4 linked regions of the Macaca mulatta genome follow. The protein of the gene in region 4 purifies or fractionates together with the protein of the main gene of each other region. This does not show direct contact. Links are inferred from orthologs where the notes say so. Each region holds a gene or a part of one and is shown on either strand. Other genes may lie near its edges.

Region 1 (4,183 bases), on a different chromosome or scaffold from region 4:
ACCCCTACTAGGGCTGTGCAGTGAGAACAGAGAGGAGGCTGAAGCCAGAGATGGCCAAGGGCCTGCGGCGCGATCTAGAGAGCAGACATGCCTTGTGACTGTTTCTGGGGAGGGGCGTCAGCTTGGAGCCTGCTGTGCAGGGGTGTTCTGTGGGCCTGAGAAGGTCGCAGTCAGCCCAGACACTGCACCAGATGTAACACTGCTGGCACCTCCTCCTACTTACCTGGTAAGTGGCAGAAGCTGCTCTCTCCTCCCTGAGAAAAGGTGAGGAATGGGCACTGGACAGCCACTAGGCGGGAGGACTGCCAGCTGGGAAGGGCAGGACGGGGAGTGGGACTCACTGCCTCACCCCACCTGGAAGATGGCCTGGGCCCCAGCAGGCCACCTTGGAAGCCGTGGTGGTGGTGGAGACCTGGTACCACCGAGACCCTCCCGCTCAGGCCCCAGCCCAGCAGAGGCTGAAAAGCAGTCACCAGGTACAAAGAGTCTGAGACAGCCGAATCAGGCACCATTTTTTATAAAAACGCATAGTCTCATTTTTCACTCTTTAAAATCACATTCAAAAATCGGCAAAGAAACGCCCCGGGGAATGAGTAGACGGGAGGGGAGGGTGCGCCAACCCAGCCCCGGGGGGGAGAAGGCGCGACACCACACAGGCAGCGTGACTGGCACGAGGGGGCATGCGGTGGGCGAGGCGGCGCCCCAAGGTGGCGGCACTGACAGGACGTGGGCTGTGGGGTTGGCCAGCCTGGGCAAGGGTACACTGATGGGCCGGGGTGGGGGGCACACTGACAGTCCCCAGCCAGCCTCCTTGATGTGCTGCCCGCCCACCTGGCCGGCCCCGTCCTGGGCAGAAGGGGTCGCACCCGCCCCAGCATCGGGGAGACCTCAGGCCAGGCGAGGCCAGTATGGCCCAACCCACAGTAGCCTTGCTGTGGTCCCTGAGCCCAGGTGCTGGGGGTTGGGGCAAGAGGGGACAGAAGGGAGGGTAGCAGCACCTGCCGCCAATGCCACCCTCTCAGCCGAGCCCTGCAGTGTCAGGGAAGTGGGAGTGGAGGCAGCCAGTGACACCGAGGCTTTTCCTGAATAAGGGCACAGGAGCCCGAGTCACTGTGGGAGGCCTTGGGGACCAGGGAGACAACAGGCCCCTCCTCTCACCAACGCTGTGGGGCAGGACAGTGCAGGGCCTGCCCCTCTGCAGCAGGAGGGGTGCAGTGGGAAAATTCAGTCGGATCCCTGTGCTGCGCCCACCCCAGTGAGGGAGGCTGGGCCACTCAGCAGTGCCCGTGGGCACAGAGTGCAGCCCACAGAGCCCAGGGTGGCACAGCTTGGTGTGGCATCATCCCTCAGGGAAGGGGCGAGAGGGCTGTGCTCTTCCCCCACAGGAAGACACTGGGAGTGGGCAGCCCCTGGGGTCAGGACGGTGGGTGCCGGGCAGCGGCTGGGTTGGTGCAGCAGGAGCTGAGGCAAGCAGGCCCCTCCCGGGGAAGGTGGGCCAGGCTGGGGCCACAGGAAATCACAATAATTACAAAATAAAACCTTTTCCGCTTGGCGGGAAAACAAATAATAAAAATTCGACAAAATAAATTAGAGGTTTATAAAAGGCAGGCGGGCGGGTCAGAGGCCGTTGGCACTGCCGCGCTGGACCAGCGGCACCTTGCTCAGCTCCACCACGGGCGAGCGCGGCTTGTTCTTCATCTTGGGCACCCGCTGCACCAGCTGCTGGGCCTCGCGGTAGGCGTCACGCAGCTCCTTCTTCCACTGCACCAGTTCAGGGTCGCTCTACACATGCCAAGCCCAGCTCTGTTAGCTGGGGCTCTCCCCAGCCTGCCTGACCTGGCCCCTTGGCCCTCCCACCCCCAGCCCAGCCCCCACTCACGTCGCACTGCAAAACGAACTGTTTCCCACCGCGGATCTTGAGGAGCAGGCACTTGCGCTCCTTGATCTGCGTCTCCTCCACGGACTGGATCTCCTCCATGGTCAGCAGGCTCTGCTGCAGGGCCAGGGATGGGTGGTGCGGGTAAGAGCCGGGCCGGCCGGCCACCTGGAAGCCCAGCTCCCAGACCCCCGCACGGGCTCCTTACCGGGGCCTCGCCCTCGCCCCGCCACTCCAGGCGGTTGGGGAACAGGTAGAAGTACCGCCGCTGCCACTGGGTCAGGAAGGGGTTGCCCATCTTGGACATGTAGCCGTGCATGATGCAGTCCTTGCCCAGGGCGTAGTCTGAGGTGAGAGACAGAGGAGACTCAGCCGGCCCCACCTGGGTTTCTTTTTTGTTGTTTTCAGACAGGGTCTCCACTCTGTTGCCCAGGCTGGAGGGCTGTGGCAAAATCTTGGCTCACTGCAACCTCCACCTCCCAGGTTCAAGCGATCCTCCCGCCTCAGCCTCCCGGGTAGCTGGGAGTACAGGCGCGTGCCACCATGCCCGGCTAATTTTTTTTGGTATTTTTTGGTAGAGACAGGGTTTCACCATGTTGGCCAAGCTGGTCTCAAACTCCTGACCTCAAGTGATCTGCGCTCCTTGGCCTCCCAAAGTGCTGGGATTACAGGCGTGAGCCACCACGCCCGGCCCCAGCCTGAGTTTCAATCCCAGAGCCGCCACTTTCTGGCTGTGATCCAGGGCGAGTTCCTTAAACCCGAGCCAGCTGCTCCCTTCTAAGCAGGCAGGGGCCTGGTGCCGCAGCAGCCGGCGACCCTCACCTTCCTCATGGCCCAGCTGCTTGTTCTTGGCTTTCTTGCGAGCCTCCAGCCGGTCTGTCTCAGCGTTGATGGTGTCGAAGACAGTCTCGGCCACCTCCTGCTGCCACCGCTCCGAGATGGTGAGGGGGAAGTTGCGGTAGAGCTCCTGATCACTGTCCAGTAACTTTACCAGGTGGATGGGGCAGGGGCACATGAATGGACAGAGATGCCGGAATACCATCAGCCACAGGCTGCCCAGACCCAGGGCCCTGGGTAGGGATGGTCAGTGCAACTGCCACCCCCAGGGAAGTTGGCTGAGGAGGAGCTGAGGCCTACAAGCTGGCAGGGCTGGCACAGGGTCTCACGGGTGATAAGAAGGGACAGGGATCCTCCCCCAGGCCAGGATCAGAGCCCAGGTACAAGAGGCCAGGCAAGGCCCAGTACCTTGATTCCTTTTGTGTCCTCCTCATCAAAGGAGCCAATGTCGAAGGCGTCAGCCGCGTTCACCTCCCCTCGTGGGGGGATCAGCGGGGGAGGGTACTGCAGCAGAACAGGGCATTAGCTCGGGGGTGGGACTGCAGAGCACCCCCAGTCCCTGCCGCAGACTGTTACCTTCTGCAAGAAGACCATCTGCCAGTCCAGGGAGCGGAAAAAGGGGCTCTCTTTCACCTCCTGAGCCCTGCGGGGAGAGGCCAGTCATCTGGGCTCAGCCCCACCCTGAGCCCTGGGCTTAACTCCTGGTTGAGCCACTTTCTGGCTCTGTGAACTTGGGCAAGTTCCTTAAGCTTGAGCTGTTTCCTCATCTCTCAAATGGGAGAACAGAAGTTCCTACATCATAGGGTTGTGGGTTTTAACATTGGTAAATTTTGCAACCCTATGCCCAGTGCTTAATAAATGTTCAATAAACATAAAAAGCTGCTATTATCATTGTCTGTGACAAGGGCCCCTCTGGAAGCCAGTTACCAGCTGGTTCCAGCAGCTCCAACCCCCAGGGCAGCCCCTCCACCCTGAGAACATTGGACAGGGCTGGCCATGCCCCAACTTGTGAGCTCCTCCAAGGAGGCTGCGACCTTGGAGGGGGTTCCAGGTGACGGGACACAGCCCTTGTCCTCATGGGGGCACAGCCGGCAGCATGCCCAAGGCGCCAGGGCACTCACCCTCGGCCCAGGCAGCCCAGTCTCCGGTTGACGTCTCTCTGCAGCAGCCCCTCTAGCAGGGAGCGGAGTTCAGGGGAGAAGGAGTCGGGCAGCTCCACAGCCTTTAGAGAGGAGTGGGACATTAGCAGGGGCTTAGGAAGAGCCCTCGACCCCATCCCAGCTCAGGGGAGAGAGGGGTCCAAGCCCCCGGCAGAGGGACAGATGGGGCGCAGCTTCCATCTGTCAGGTGCTCCAACAGCAAGGGGAGGACAAGAGCCTAGGGGCAGGAGGTCTGCCTCGGAGGCCAGAGTAGGGGTCAGTGGCCGAGATCTCTGCTGGCTGGTGGGAAGCAAGAGTCATGCCCTGGCAC
Region 2 (3,408 bases), on a different chromosome or scaffold from region 4:
ATAATAATAAACCCTTAGGTCTGTAACATATTTCGTAAGTTTACAAAGTACTTTCAAATACACTATCTTATTTTTACAGATATGTGAGATGGGCATTATCATCATCCTTACTTTACAGATAGGGAAGTTGCACATAGTCTCATGGCCTTTAAATGTTCAGCCTGATCCTTAGGTCATACTCTTTCCAGTATATATACACAGCTGCTACTTTGCATCCTAGAGCATAAAGCAGCTGACCATATTTCTAGAATGTGTATATGGAGAACAAGAGAGAGCCTCAGTTGGAGTTCAAGGTGATTCACCATTTTTATTGCCAGGCCTTGTACCTCATTGCCACCAATGGGACCCCAGAACTTCAGAACCCAGAGAAGCTGTCAGCTATCTTCCGGGACTTTCTGAACCGCTGTCTTGAGATGGATGTGGAGAAGAGAGGTTCAGCTAAAGAGCTGCTGCAGGTAACTGTCCCTGTGCAGGGAAGCACCTAATTCAGGGAATCACTAAACCAGGCCTTTTTTACTTCATGTTTGTCTGTAAGGTACTGGATATTATAGAACTAGGCTTCTCTTTTACCATTTCCTACCCTCACTCTGTTCCTACTGCTCTAACTTTTATCCCTGGGGCTTTGCTTATTTATTTTCTTAGCCTCTTTCTTGGCCTGTTAAAACTCTACACATTCTCCTAGGCTCAGTTTACAATCATTTTCTGAGCACCTATTGAGCTTTGCTTGTAGCTTGCTTCCTTCCTTCCTTCCTTCCTTCCTTCCTTCCTTCCTTCCTTCCTTCCTTCCTTCCTTCCTCCCTCCCTCCCTCGCTCCCTCCCTCCCTCCCTCCCATCCTCCCTTCCTCCCTCCCTCCCTTCCTCCCTTCCTCCCTTCCTCCCTCCTTCCTTTTCCTTTCCTTTCTTTCCTTTCTTTCTTTTCTTCTTCCTTTCCCTTTCTTTTCTTTCCTTTTCCTTCCTTTCCCTTTCCTTCCTTCCTTCCTTTCCTTTCCTTTCCTTTCCTTTCCTTTCCTTTCCTTTCCTTTCCTTTCCTTTCCTTTCCTTTCCTTTCCTTTCCTTTCCTCTCCCTCTCCCTCCCCCTCCCCCTCCCCTTTCCCTTCCCCCCTCCCTTACTCTCACCTCCCCACAGGGTCTCACTCTGTCACCCGGGCAGGAGTGTACAATGGTGTGATTTTGTCTCACTGCAGTTTTCCTCTCCTGGGTTCACTCAAGTGATCTTCCCACCTCAGCCTCCCAAGTAGCTGGGACTACAGGTACATGCCACCATACCGGGCTAATTTTTTAAAAAGTTTTTTGTAGAGACGCGGTTTTGCTGTGTTAGCTAGGCTGGTCTCAAATTCCTGGGTTCAAGCGATGTGACCACCTCGGTTTCCCAAAGTGCTGGGACTACAGTTATGAGCCACCATGCCCGGCCTGCTTGTATCTTTCATTAGCACATCCTTTGTTCTGTTTGAATTAGTCTGGCAGAGTTTGTTTGAGTCTTGTTGAGAAATGGCTCTCTGACATCCAAATCTTACGCAAGTTATATTTTTGCTGGGATTAGCTCAAAGGATACATTTTTAGCAAAGGAACATACGTTTATTTTATTTTATTTATGTTTTATTTTTTGAGACAGGATCTCTGTCTGTTGCCCAGGCTGGAGTGCAGTGGTGCAGTCATGGCTCACTGCAGCCCCAGCCTCCCCAGGTTCTGCTGATCCTCCCACTTTAGCCTCCAGAGTAGGTGGGACTACAAGCGTGCACCACCATACCTGCCTAATTTTTATATTTTCTGTAAAGACAGGGTTTTGCCATGTTGCTCAGGCTGGGCTCAAACGATCTGCCCGCTATAGCCTCCCAAAGTGTGGAATTACAGGCATGGCATGAGCCACCATGCCCATCCATGGAACATAAGTTTAGAAGATAATTAGTGAGTATGGCTTTTGGAGTCTATACTTTCTTCACTGGAAATCCTCAGATAATGGCAATGATACTCTACTTGTTGAGAGTGAGATTTTGCCAGTTTGTGGAGAAACCCGGAGTCAGGGGTTTACCAGGCCTTTTATACTCCCACCCCCCTAATCCTGATAATTTTACATGGTTGAAAAAATTGCCTTTAGCAGGCCACGTCATTTGTATTTAACATATTTGTTTCCAGTACAATTTCTTATAACAAGTGTTCTTTTATTGTATTGCCCACTAGTGATTTAATAGTAAGTATCATGTGCAACTTTATGAAGGCATGCACTGTCATTTATTTTCGTATTATAAAGCCCAGGAGTGACAGAGCAGGGCAGGGCAGGGCAGGACCTAGCATACTGCCCTGTGTTAATTATGAATCTTTCCTACTGGATTATAACCTCTATTTTATTAATCCCTGAGTTTCTTGTTTTACCTAGAACCTGACTTAGGATAGGTACTCAAAAAATATTTATTGAATTGAATGAAATTGCTGGAAGAACCTACATTGGAATATCATCCTCTGGAACATATTTATCATCTCTTTGTAATTGAGGTTACTGATTATGGAGTACTGGCCTATTAGATATGAGATCTGGGTTCTGCCAAGTGTAACCCATTAGTCTCTAGTATCTGTTGGGACTAAAAGTCTCTTAGTACAATGTAGGACCCCTTTTGCTGTTCATGAGAGTTGTATTCTGCAAACTGTAGGCACTGGGAAATGTGTAAATACGATATGCTAAGCCTATGATTAGTAAAGATACCATTCTTAATTAAGTACCAAACTATAGTTCTTGAAAGGTTAGTGCCCTCTAAAGTTTTCTTCCTGATACAGTAATATAACTAGTAATAAATGCATTATATTGAATCTTTACCATATTTTAGGCACTAAACACTTTATATATTTAGGCACTAATAAGCACTTTATATATTGTCCTTCACAACAACTCTATGAGTTATAGGTTCTGTTATTCTCATTTTTACAGATGAGGAAACTGAGGTTTCAAGTATTTAGTAACTTTTCCATGATAGCTGATATGTGGCAGATCCAGGATTTCAGCCTGTTTGGCTCCGAAGTGTGTATGCTCTTGGCCACTGCTCTTACAGGCTCAAAGAGTATCACAACTGGAAAGCCCTTAGGGCTCATCTAGTCTGTTTTGTTTATTAGACAGAGAAGGAAACTGAGGCCTTCCAGTTCGGTGTTGGATCATGCTGCTCTCAACTTAGGGGAATTGTAGAAACATGTGATCTGAGAAAGCTGGCTTTTTAACTTGTTCGTGTACATTGTAAATATTGAAAACCATGACTTTGAGAATCGTAAATCATAAAAGCTTCACATCTGTTTCTCCTGTGAGAACACACTTATGGACAGAAATACATAGGATGATATATATTGGAATTCCTATCTTCATGATTTAGCTAGGATCTTTTATTCCTTTCATAGTAATAGTACCTTCTTGTTCTCAGTAGCTCT
Region 3 (3,564 bases), on a different chromosome or scaffold from region 4:
GAACTAAGCCACTGTAACCACTAATGTAGTATTGATCACTTTTCAAAGAGCTTCAGAGCTATTTAAATAATTCTGCCTTAGAAACAGTCCCACAAAGAAGAATATAATTTCCATTTGTGAGACAGGAAAACTAAGGCAGAGAGACTAAGTCATTTTTCTGCAGAGAGAAGAATCAAATGAAGGATTTCCTAATAAATAATTTTGGGTTAGAAGTAACACACCCACAGCCAAACTTAATTTTTCATATATAAAGCCATGTATTTAACTAGTAGACAAAATAAATGTATTGAATTTGTTTTTGCCATATGAGTAACCAGCAGGTCAAAAAAATACTCATTGACAATATCCTTAATCCTTAATCCAATAATCTGTAAACAGATTAGCAACTTAGACTTAGGAAAAATCTCTCATGATCACCTTATCCCAACTTTCCAAGAAATGTGTATACATGGAGCATGGATATTAATTATTAATAGTAGCTTAAAAATACAGGAAACAAATCATTTAATTCATTTCACTCAGCCACAGTACTTATACTTGAAAAAAGACAGATATGAAAAACTCTCACATGACAAAAATAACAGGAAAAAGCAGCACTTTAAAAAAAGGCAGGAAAATGGGGCATTTTAGGGCATTATGACATTTTTATATGTATTTCACACAAGCCTGCTTTTTCAACAAAGTACTTACATGTCAGAATTGCATCTTCATATTTTAGCCACCAATTACAACAAGGGACAAAACAAGCATAAGGGAAAGCTTCATTCATCAAAGGTTACAGCACAGCATTATGATGTCACTGTAAGCCAAAGATATTGTTCTACCCTTACCTTTAAGATATAAGACATCCTCTAAAATGAATATGTAAAGAAAGAGAAGATGAGCGTGAGAGGTCGATGGTTATAATGACCAAATCCACTTATCAATAATTCTAAAACAACATTTGAAATGTTAGTGTTATCATAAATTACACAGAGGGAATATAATCACATTTCCCACATTAGTTTCAGATGCAATATTATCATGCAAAAGCCTGAGGAATACAGTTCTGTGCAGAATAACAAATGCTGAAAACAACTGAAATACATACTATCTAGTAGGAATATATTAATAACTCTTTTCCCCCAGCAGAAACGAAGTGATCATGCCTTAGTTTTAATAGATTAGTTATGTGAAGGATTAAGTCAACTTTACTCTTCAAAGCTCACCTTAATTTGAACTTAGTAACTGATAATTACAAAATATCTGTCATTAAAAAGGAGACCGAGGTAACTATGAAGTGGCACTCCTGGTTTACATAATCAAAGAAGAAAATTGGATGACTGCAAGAATTGCAGGTAAATTTCCAAAGTAAATCTGTGGGACTGCTTCCTGACCAAATTCTAAATACAGTTATATAACAAAGATTCAGTTCAAGGGTTGTTTGTCCTATCATGTCAAGTTGAAAGGATCAAAACATCCTCCAGTGTCCAAATATTGTCTTATTTTTACTGCACTTAGAGTTGGTAGCAACAATTAATCGAAACAAAAGCATGGTGGTTTAAATCAAAACACTCAAAATTGAGCTGAGTCTGCATCACTCATCAAAACACACATTTGATCTAGAAATATATGCTGCCTTTGCCCCATAATTCTAAGACTCATCTCATAACTGTCACAAACTTAATCTTCACCCAATGAGACTGATTTAAAGAACAGTTACTAATAAATGAGTATCTTTTCTGAAATCTGAAATGATTTGAGACAGGTTAGGGATAAAGCCACTGTTTGGATGGAAAAGTAATACTCCACACAGTTACAGAAGCTAGTGAGTGACACTTCCTGACTGCAACTTCTAGAGAAAAAAAAAATACACAAAACCTTTAAATCCCCACACTACCCAAATATCAAATGGCCTTTAAGGTTGTCTCTGAGAAGCCTCTTTTTAAAAGACACTCCTTTCATCAAATTCTTTTCTCATTCCAATTGAAGCAAATATCACTTTTATAGTTTGGACTCATAGCTTGGTCCCATAACACTTTACTAATTTGGTTCAAATTGATCAAAATGATCCCAAATGCTGAATTAGGTCTGCTTCATTGGCAACTCAACTACAATGAAGTAGCTCTTGAGATTTGTGTACATTATTAATGAATCTAAAGAATTATCATAATAATCATTAAGGTAAACCAGAGGCACTTCAGGAGGAGACTGGGAACACTCAGGCAGTGCACATAGATCCTATAGATATTCAGTACATATTTGCAGATGGATAATGGGAAACGGAAAATTAAGAAACCAAACAAATCACTGAGTCTAGCAATTCAAGACTGACTCACATATACCACCTATCTTAAATTCTAGCACATTCCCACAGAACTATTTGTAACAAGCTATGAAATTAACTTGTCAGAAGCATTTTATACCATAGGTAGCAAAATTACCTCTTTATAACCTAGTGCTGCTGATGGTCTAAGTGGAGGTGCAGGTCGTAGACAACTTAAACTCCACGGTTTTATAATTTGAGGAGGCTCCAAGGGTCCTCGGGGCTGTCCAGTAGAGCTAAAAGACTGGGAAAATGTCTGATGAGATGTTGGCAATCTGCCATCTGAACCCGACCTTGTGCCACACAGTGAGAGAACAACAATAGCTTCATTGGATCAGCAAAGACAGCCATAGAAAGGGATAGACGGAAGAACAAAAGTCTCCAGTTTGAGAACTGGCTCTTTCCAGTCAAGATTACGGGGTCTCTAAGAAACAGCACAAAATTGACTCAACATTCCATGATCCTGTCCTCTCTTTCTCATCTGGAATTTAATTAATTTAATTTTCTTTCCTCTGTAAGGAAAGAAAATGGAGTAGCAGTCAACATTTGAGTTCAGTGATATGTTTGGCACTCTGGTAGGTGCTTAAATAGATTATTTCATGAGAACAGCCTAAAACATAGACTCAGTCAAGTGAAGTAACTAACTAGTAATTGGCAAAGCCAAGATTTGAACCCAGATCTGAAGCCAAAGCCCATATTCTTCCGACCACAACACACAGTGCTCAAAACTGGAATTTTGGCATCATAGGTTTGTATGTTAACAAACAACACAGTATATCTTCCATCTCACTCAGCAAGTACAGTAAAATCTCATCAATTCAAATTCCAAAGTGTAAATTTGTGATAACTCAGAAAGAGACAATGCTGAAAGTTTACCTTTGAAGAAGGTTACTGAGCAAATGTGAGAGCATGAGTGAGATGACATGGAGATGTTTAAGTACTTAGGGAGGTAAACTATTTGTTTCTACTTAGCCCATTGTTAGTAGGAGAGTAACCATTGCTGATTGAAATAAGCCTTGCTTATCATTAAAATATTTTAGCAGGACTTCTGGTTAGAAATACTTTGCTGGCAGTTAGTTGGGGTACCTGAATACTGTCAAACAGAACTGCACACCTCTAAGTAAACCTTTTCATTAATTTGGATGGGCCTCATAATGAGAAATCAGAATGAGTGAGGTTTAACTGTACTTCAAAATCTACAAATATAGGCTGCCCAAAAGGCTGAGGGTGTGCTTGTTGCTTCTTCTAAATAAGTCTCC
Region 4 (3,564 bases):
CGCCAGCCACAGCAGGCGCTCAGGAGGTGTTTCCCCCAGTGCCCAGCACGCAGTGGGCACTCTCTCATTTGGCATCTCTTCCCCGCAGATGGTGCACACGCTTGCCAGCAACGGGGCCAACTCCATCTGGGAGCACTCCCTGCTGGACCCCGCACAAGTGCAGAGCGGCCGGCGTAAAGCCAACCCCCAAGACAAAGTCCAGTGAGTGGGGCTGGAGGGGTGGTGGGCAGAGACTGCACAGTCTGGGACAGGGCCCTGGGAGGTGGCAAAGTGACCACCCTCTCCCACCATGCCCCCCATTCCTCCTGTGTGCCCCATGCAGCCCCATCAAGTCAGAGTTCATCAGGGCCAAGTACCAGATGCTGGCGTTTGTGCACAAGCTTCCCTGCCGGGACGATGATGGGGTCACCGCCAAAGACCTCAGCAAGGTTTGAGGGGCCCTACAACAGATGGGTGGCCCCCTCTTCTTCCCACCCTTGACTCTCTGAAGGCCTCTCCTTTGTCCCCACTGAGGCCTGGGCCCCAAAGGCCGCAAGGTCAGGTGGTAACAGTAGGCAGGATGGAAAGAGCAGATTGCTAGGTCAAGCCATGTGCGGCTGAGGCTCCTCAGCAACCAAGTGGACACAGAAGGCTAGAAGCCCACAACTGCCACTCAGAAGCTGGGAAAACCTGGGGGTAGTTGCTTAGCCTCTCACAGCCTCAGTTTCATCATCTGTAAAATGGGAAAGAAATAACAGCATCTACTTCATGAAGACATTATCTTAAGCAGGGCACACAGCACACGTGGTAGATGGTGACTGACAGCAGCGTTTATTGATTGGCATTAACCCCTAGTGGGGAGCCTCTGTCCTCCTGACATAGCCTGGTTTGGGCAGGCCTCCTTGGAGCTGCTAGGCGTCCCAGGGGCAGCCAGGGTGCAGCTTGCAGGTGGAGAGGTGCGCCTCACGCAATGTGTATTCATTGCACGCTCTGCTCCTCGTAGCAACTGCACTCAAGCGTGCGGACAGGCAACCTGGAGACATGTCTGCGCCTGCTATCCCTGGGTGCCCAGGCCAACTTCTTCCACCCAGAGAAGGGCACAACACCTCTGCACGTGGCTGCCAAGGCAGGGCAGATACTGCAGGCCGAGCTGCTTGTAGTGTATGGGGCTGACCCTGGCTCCCCTGATGTTAATGGCCGCACACCCATTGACTATGCCAGGTGAGGGTCAGCTGAAGGGTGCAGCGTGGGTGGGTGGGGGTGTGGGTGAGGGCTGCTGCTGCAGGGCTGAGCCATACCCCCTCCCCACAGGCAGGCGGGGCACCATGAGCTGGCGGAAAGGCTGGTTGAATGCCAATATGAGCTCACTGACCGGCTGGCCTTCTACCTCTGTGGACGCAAGCCGGGTGAGCAGAGCTTGGAGCGGGCTTCGCTGGGCTGGGCAGGTGGGACCTGGACACACCCAGCAGCAGGTGCCATGGTGACAGAGCGACTGGGGAGCAGTGTTGCTAGGCAACTGGCTCCTGTGAAATTGCTGCAGGCTCTGGGCCACAGCATCGTTGGGGCTAGGGAGTGGGGGTGGGCATCCTGCATCCTCCCCTGAGCTCCCAGCACTCTTGGGGGTGGCCTGCCCTCCCCCCTTTCCCCTGACACTTCTGGGTGCCAGCCCTGCTCATAGCAGTGAGGTGGGCTCCCAGCTGCTGATGCCACCCAGCTCTAGTGAGTGACTTGGCATTTTTATTTTTGTTCAGATCACAAGAATGGGCATTACATCATCCCACAGATGGCTGACAGGTGAGTGCCCACCTGATGCCCCTTTCCAGAGGCTGTTGGATGCCATGTGGGCAGCTGACCCCCAGAGCTCCCAGCCCAGGCTTCAGGGGCCTAGGACCCTGCTCCCCACCCCCCAGAGACTAGAGGCACAGCTTAGTCCTCAGTCCCTAATGCTGGGCCCCAAGGCAGGTAAAAAAATGTTAGCTCCGTATGTGGCCAGCATAGCCTGAGCCCTGTGACTGTCAAGTACATGGAGGGCTTGGGTGTAAGAAGCTACCTGTGGGCCGGGCGCGGTGGCTCACGCCTGTAATCCCAGCACTTTGGGAGGCCGAGGCGGGCGGATCACCTGAGGTCGGGAGTTCTAGACCAACCTGGCCAACATGGAGAAACCCTGTCTCTACTAAAAAGATAAAATTAGCCAGGTGTGGTGGCGCATGCCTGTAATCCCAGCTACTCGGGAGGCTGAGGCAGGAGAATCCCTCGAACCCAGGAGGCGGAGGTTGCGGTGAGCTGAGATCACGCCATTGCACTCCAGCCTGGGCAACAAGAGCAAAACTCCGTCTCAAAAAAAAAAAAAGCTACCTTCGGCTGGGAGGGTGGGCCACTGGGTTCTGTCTCAGTGGCACTGACCCCACTGTCTTTAGAGAAGCCTCTGCTCCTCACTGAAAAGATGGGTGGGCTTCAGGGATGTGACTAACTTTGAGACTGCACGCTAGGCCTCGAGCATGCTCAGAAATTAGGCAGGTGCCCTGAGGCTGGTTGAATGAGGTGTTTCTGCCTCCGTCTGAGAGGCCCCAAGTGCCCAGGCAGTGTGGGACACCCTCTGCCACTCACCCAGCACATAAGATGGATGCTAGTGCCACCTGGTGGCCACCTCTGATGGCCACGTCCTCATGCCAGGCTGTGCCTTCTGGCCGCCAGGCTGTGCCTTCTGGCCTGGATCTGGAGAGAGGAGGTGCTCTCCTCCCCAAGGGCCTGTGTGGGCAGATGGACATAGCCAAGCCTGGGCAACTCAGATCCTAAACCCAGACCTCCTCGAGACCCCAAGGCTCCTACTTCAGTGGTCTGATTCTACCTGGGCTGTGAGTGTGTGTGTGCGTGTTTACATGCATGTGTGTGTATGGTAAATATACCCACATATGGGCTCCATTCAACAGCACATTAACTGAGCACCTTCCTGGAGCCAGCTACTGCTCTTGGCACTGGGAGCACAGAGGCACCTGAGACACAATCCCTACCCTTGAGGAGCTCACAGTCTAGCTGGGGAGGCAGCCTAGGCAGGTGATTCTAGTCCCCTTGGGGGAGCGCAGCAAGAGAGGCAGAGGCATGGAAGGTAGAAGTGCTGCATGGGAATGGAGGCAGCCCCTGGGGCTGGAGCACAGCATGGGAGGCAGGGAACCCTACGAGCAAGACTGGAATAGAGACAAGCAGGAGAATGAGCAGCCCCGAGAGCATCAGCAGGAGCAGTGACCATCCCAAGAGCAGAGAGTTCCAGGCATAGAAGTGTGAAGTCAGTTCTGCTGCTTACTGGCTGTGTGACTTGCAGGCTGCTTGACCTCTCTGAGCCTTGGTTACCTCTCCTGGAAATGGAGATGACAGTATCTGTTTTTCAGGGAGGAGAGGATTAGATAATGTACGCAAAATGTTTAGCTTTTGGTTTTTTTTTTAAGAGTTGGGGTCTTGCTCTGTTGCCCAGGTTGGAGTGCAGTGGCTCGATCATAGCTTACTGCAGCCTTTAACGATCCTCCTACCATAGCCTCTTGAGTAGCTGGGACTACAGGCACATGCCACTATGCTCAGCTAATTTTTAAA

The links.
Region 1: the proteins of GIT1 (region 4) and GRK2 purify together in Homo sapiens (affinity purification with western blotting; 4 studies listed by BioGRID and IntAct, with this or other methods). This does not show direct contact. The link is inferred for Macaca mulatta from reciprocal best matches to the Homo sapiens genes GIT1 and GRK2.
Region 2: the proteins of GIT1 (region 4) and PAK1 purify together in Homo sapiens (affinity purification with mass spectrometry; 6 studies listed by BioGRID and IntAct, with this or other methods). This does not show direct contact. The link is inferred for Macaca mulatta from reciprocal best matches to the Homo sapiens genes GIT1 and PAK1.
Region 3: the proteins of GIT1 (region 4) and ARHGEF6 purify together in Homo sapiens (affinity purification with mass spectrometry; 3 studies listed by BioGRID and IntAct, counting the BioPlex papers as one, with this or other methods). This does not show direct contact. The link is inferred for Macaca mulatta from reciprocal best matches to the Homo sapiens genes GIT1 and ARHGEF6.

The regions. Positions count from the first base shown.
Region 1 is NC_133419.1:7,100,224-7,104,406, forward strand, and holds the end of GRK2 (beta-adrenergic receptor kinase 1), read right to left. Parts: intron 3,936-4,183; coding exon 3,835-3,935; intron 3,357-3,834; coding exon 3,290-3,356; intron 3,218-3,289; coding exon 3,122-3,217; intron 2,862-3,121; coding exon 2,699-2,861; intron 2,222-2,698; coding exon 2,085-2,221; intron 1,994-2,084; coding exon 1,880-1,993; coding exon of another isoform or gene 1,858-1,879; intron 1,804-1,857; coding exon of another isoform or gene 1,783-1,803; coding exon 1,618-1,782; 3' UTR 502-1,617; downstream 1-501. UniProt on the Homo sapiens protein: Specifically phosphorylates the agonist-occupied form of the beta-adrenergic and closely related receptors, probably inducing a desensitization of them. Key regulator of LPAR1 signaling.
Region 2 is NC_133419.1:77,745,019-77,748,426, reverse strand, and holds part of PAK1 (serine/threonine-protein kinase PAK 1), read left to right. Parts: intron 1-317; coding exon 318-455; intron 456-1,184; coding exon of another isoform or gene 1,185-1,238; exon of another isoform or gene 1,239-1,250; intron 1,251-3,408. UniProt on the Homo sapiens protein: Protein kinase involved in intracellular signaling pathways downstream of integrins and receptor-type kinases that plays an important role in cytoskeleton dynamics, in cell adhesion, migration, proliferation, apoptosis, mitosis, and in vesicle-mediated transport processes.
Region 3 is NC_133426.1:143,013,215-143,016,778, forward strand, and holds part of ARHGEF6 (rho guanine nucleotide exchange factor 6), read right to left. Parts: intron 2,562-3,564; coding exon of another isoform or gene 2,550-2,561; coding exon 2,424-2,549; coding exon of another isoform or gene 2,406-2,423; intron 852-2,405; coding exon 831-851; intron 1-830. UniProt on the Homo sapiens protein: Acts as a RAC1 guanine nucleotide exchange factor (GEF).
Region 4 is NC_133421.1:38,321,381-38,324,944, reverse strand, and holds part of GIT1 (ARF GTPase-activating protein GIT1), read left to right. Parts: intron 1-88; coding exon 89-201; intron 202-322; coding exon 323-428; intron 429-982; coding exon 983-1,200; intron 1,201-1,290; coding exon 1,291-1,385; intron 1,386-1,730; coding exon 1,731-1,773; intron 1,774-3,564. UniProt on the Homo sapiens protein: GTPase-activating protein for ADP ribosylation factor family members, including ARF1.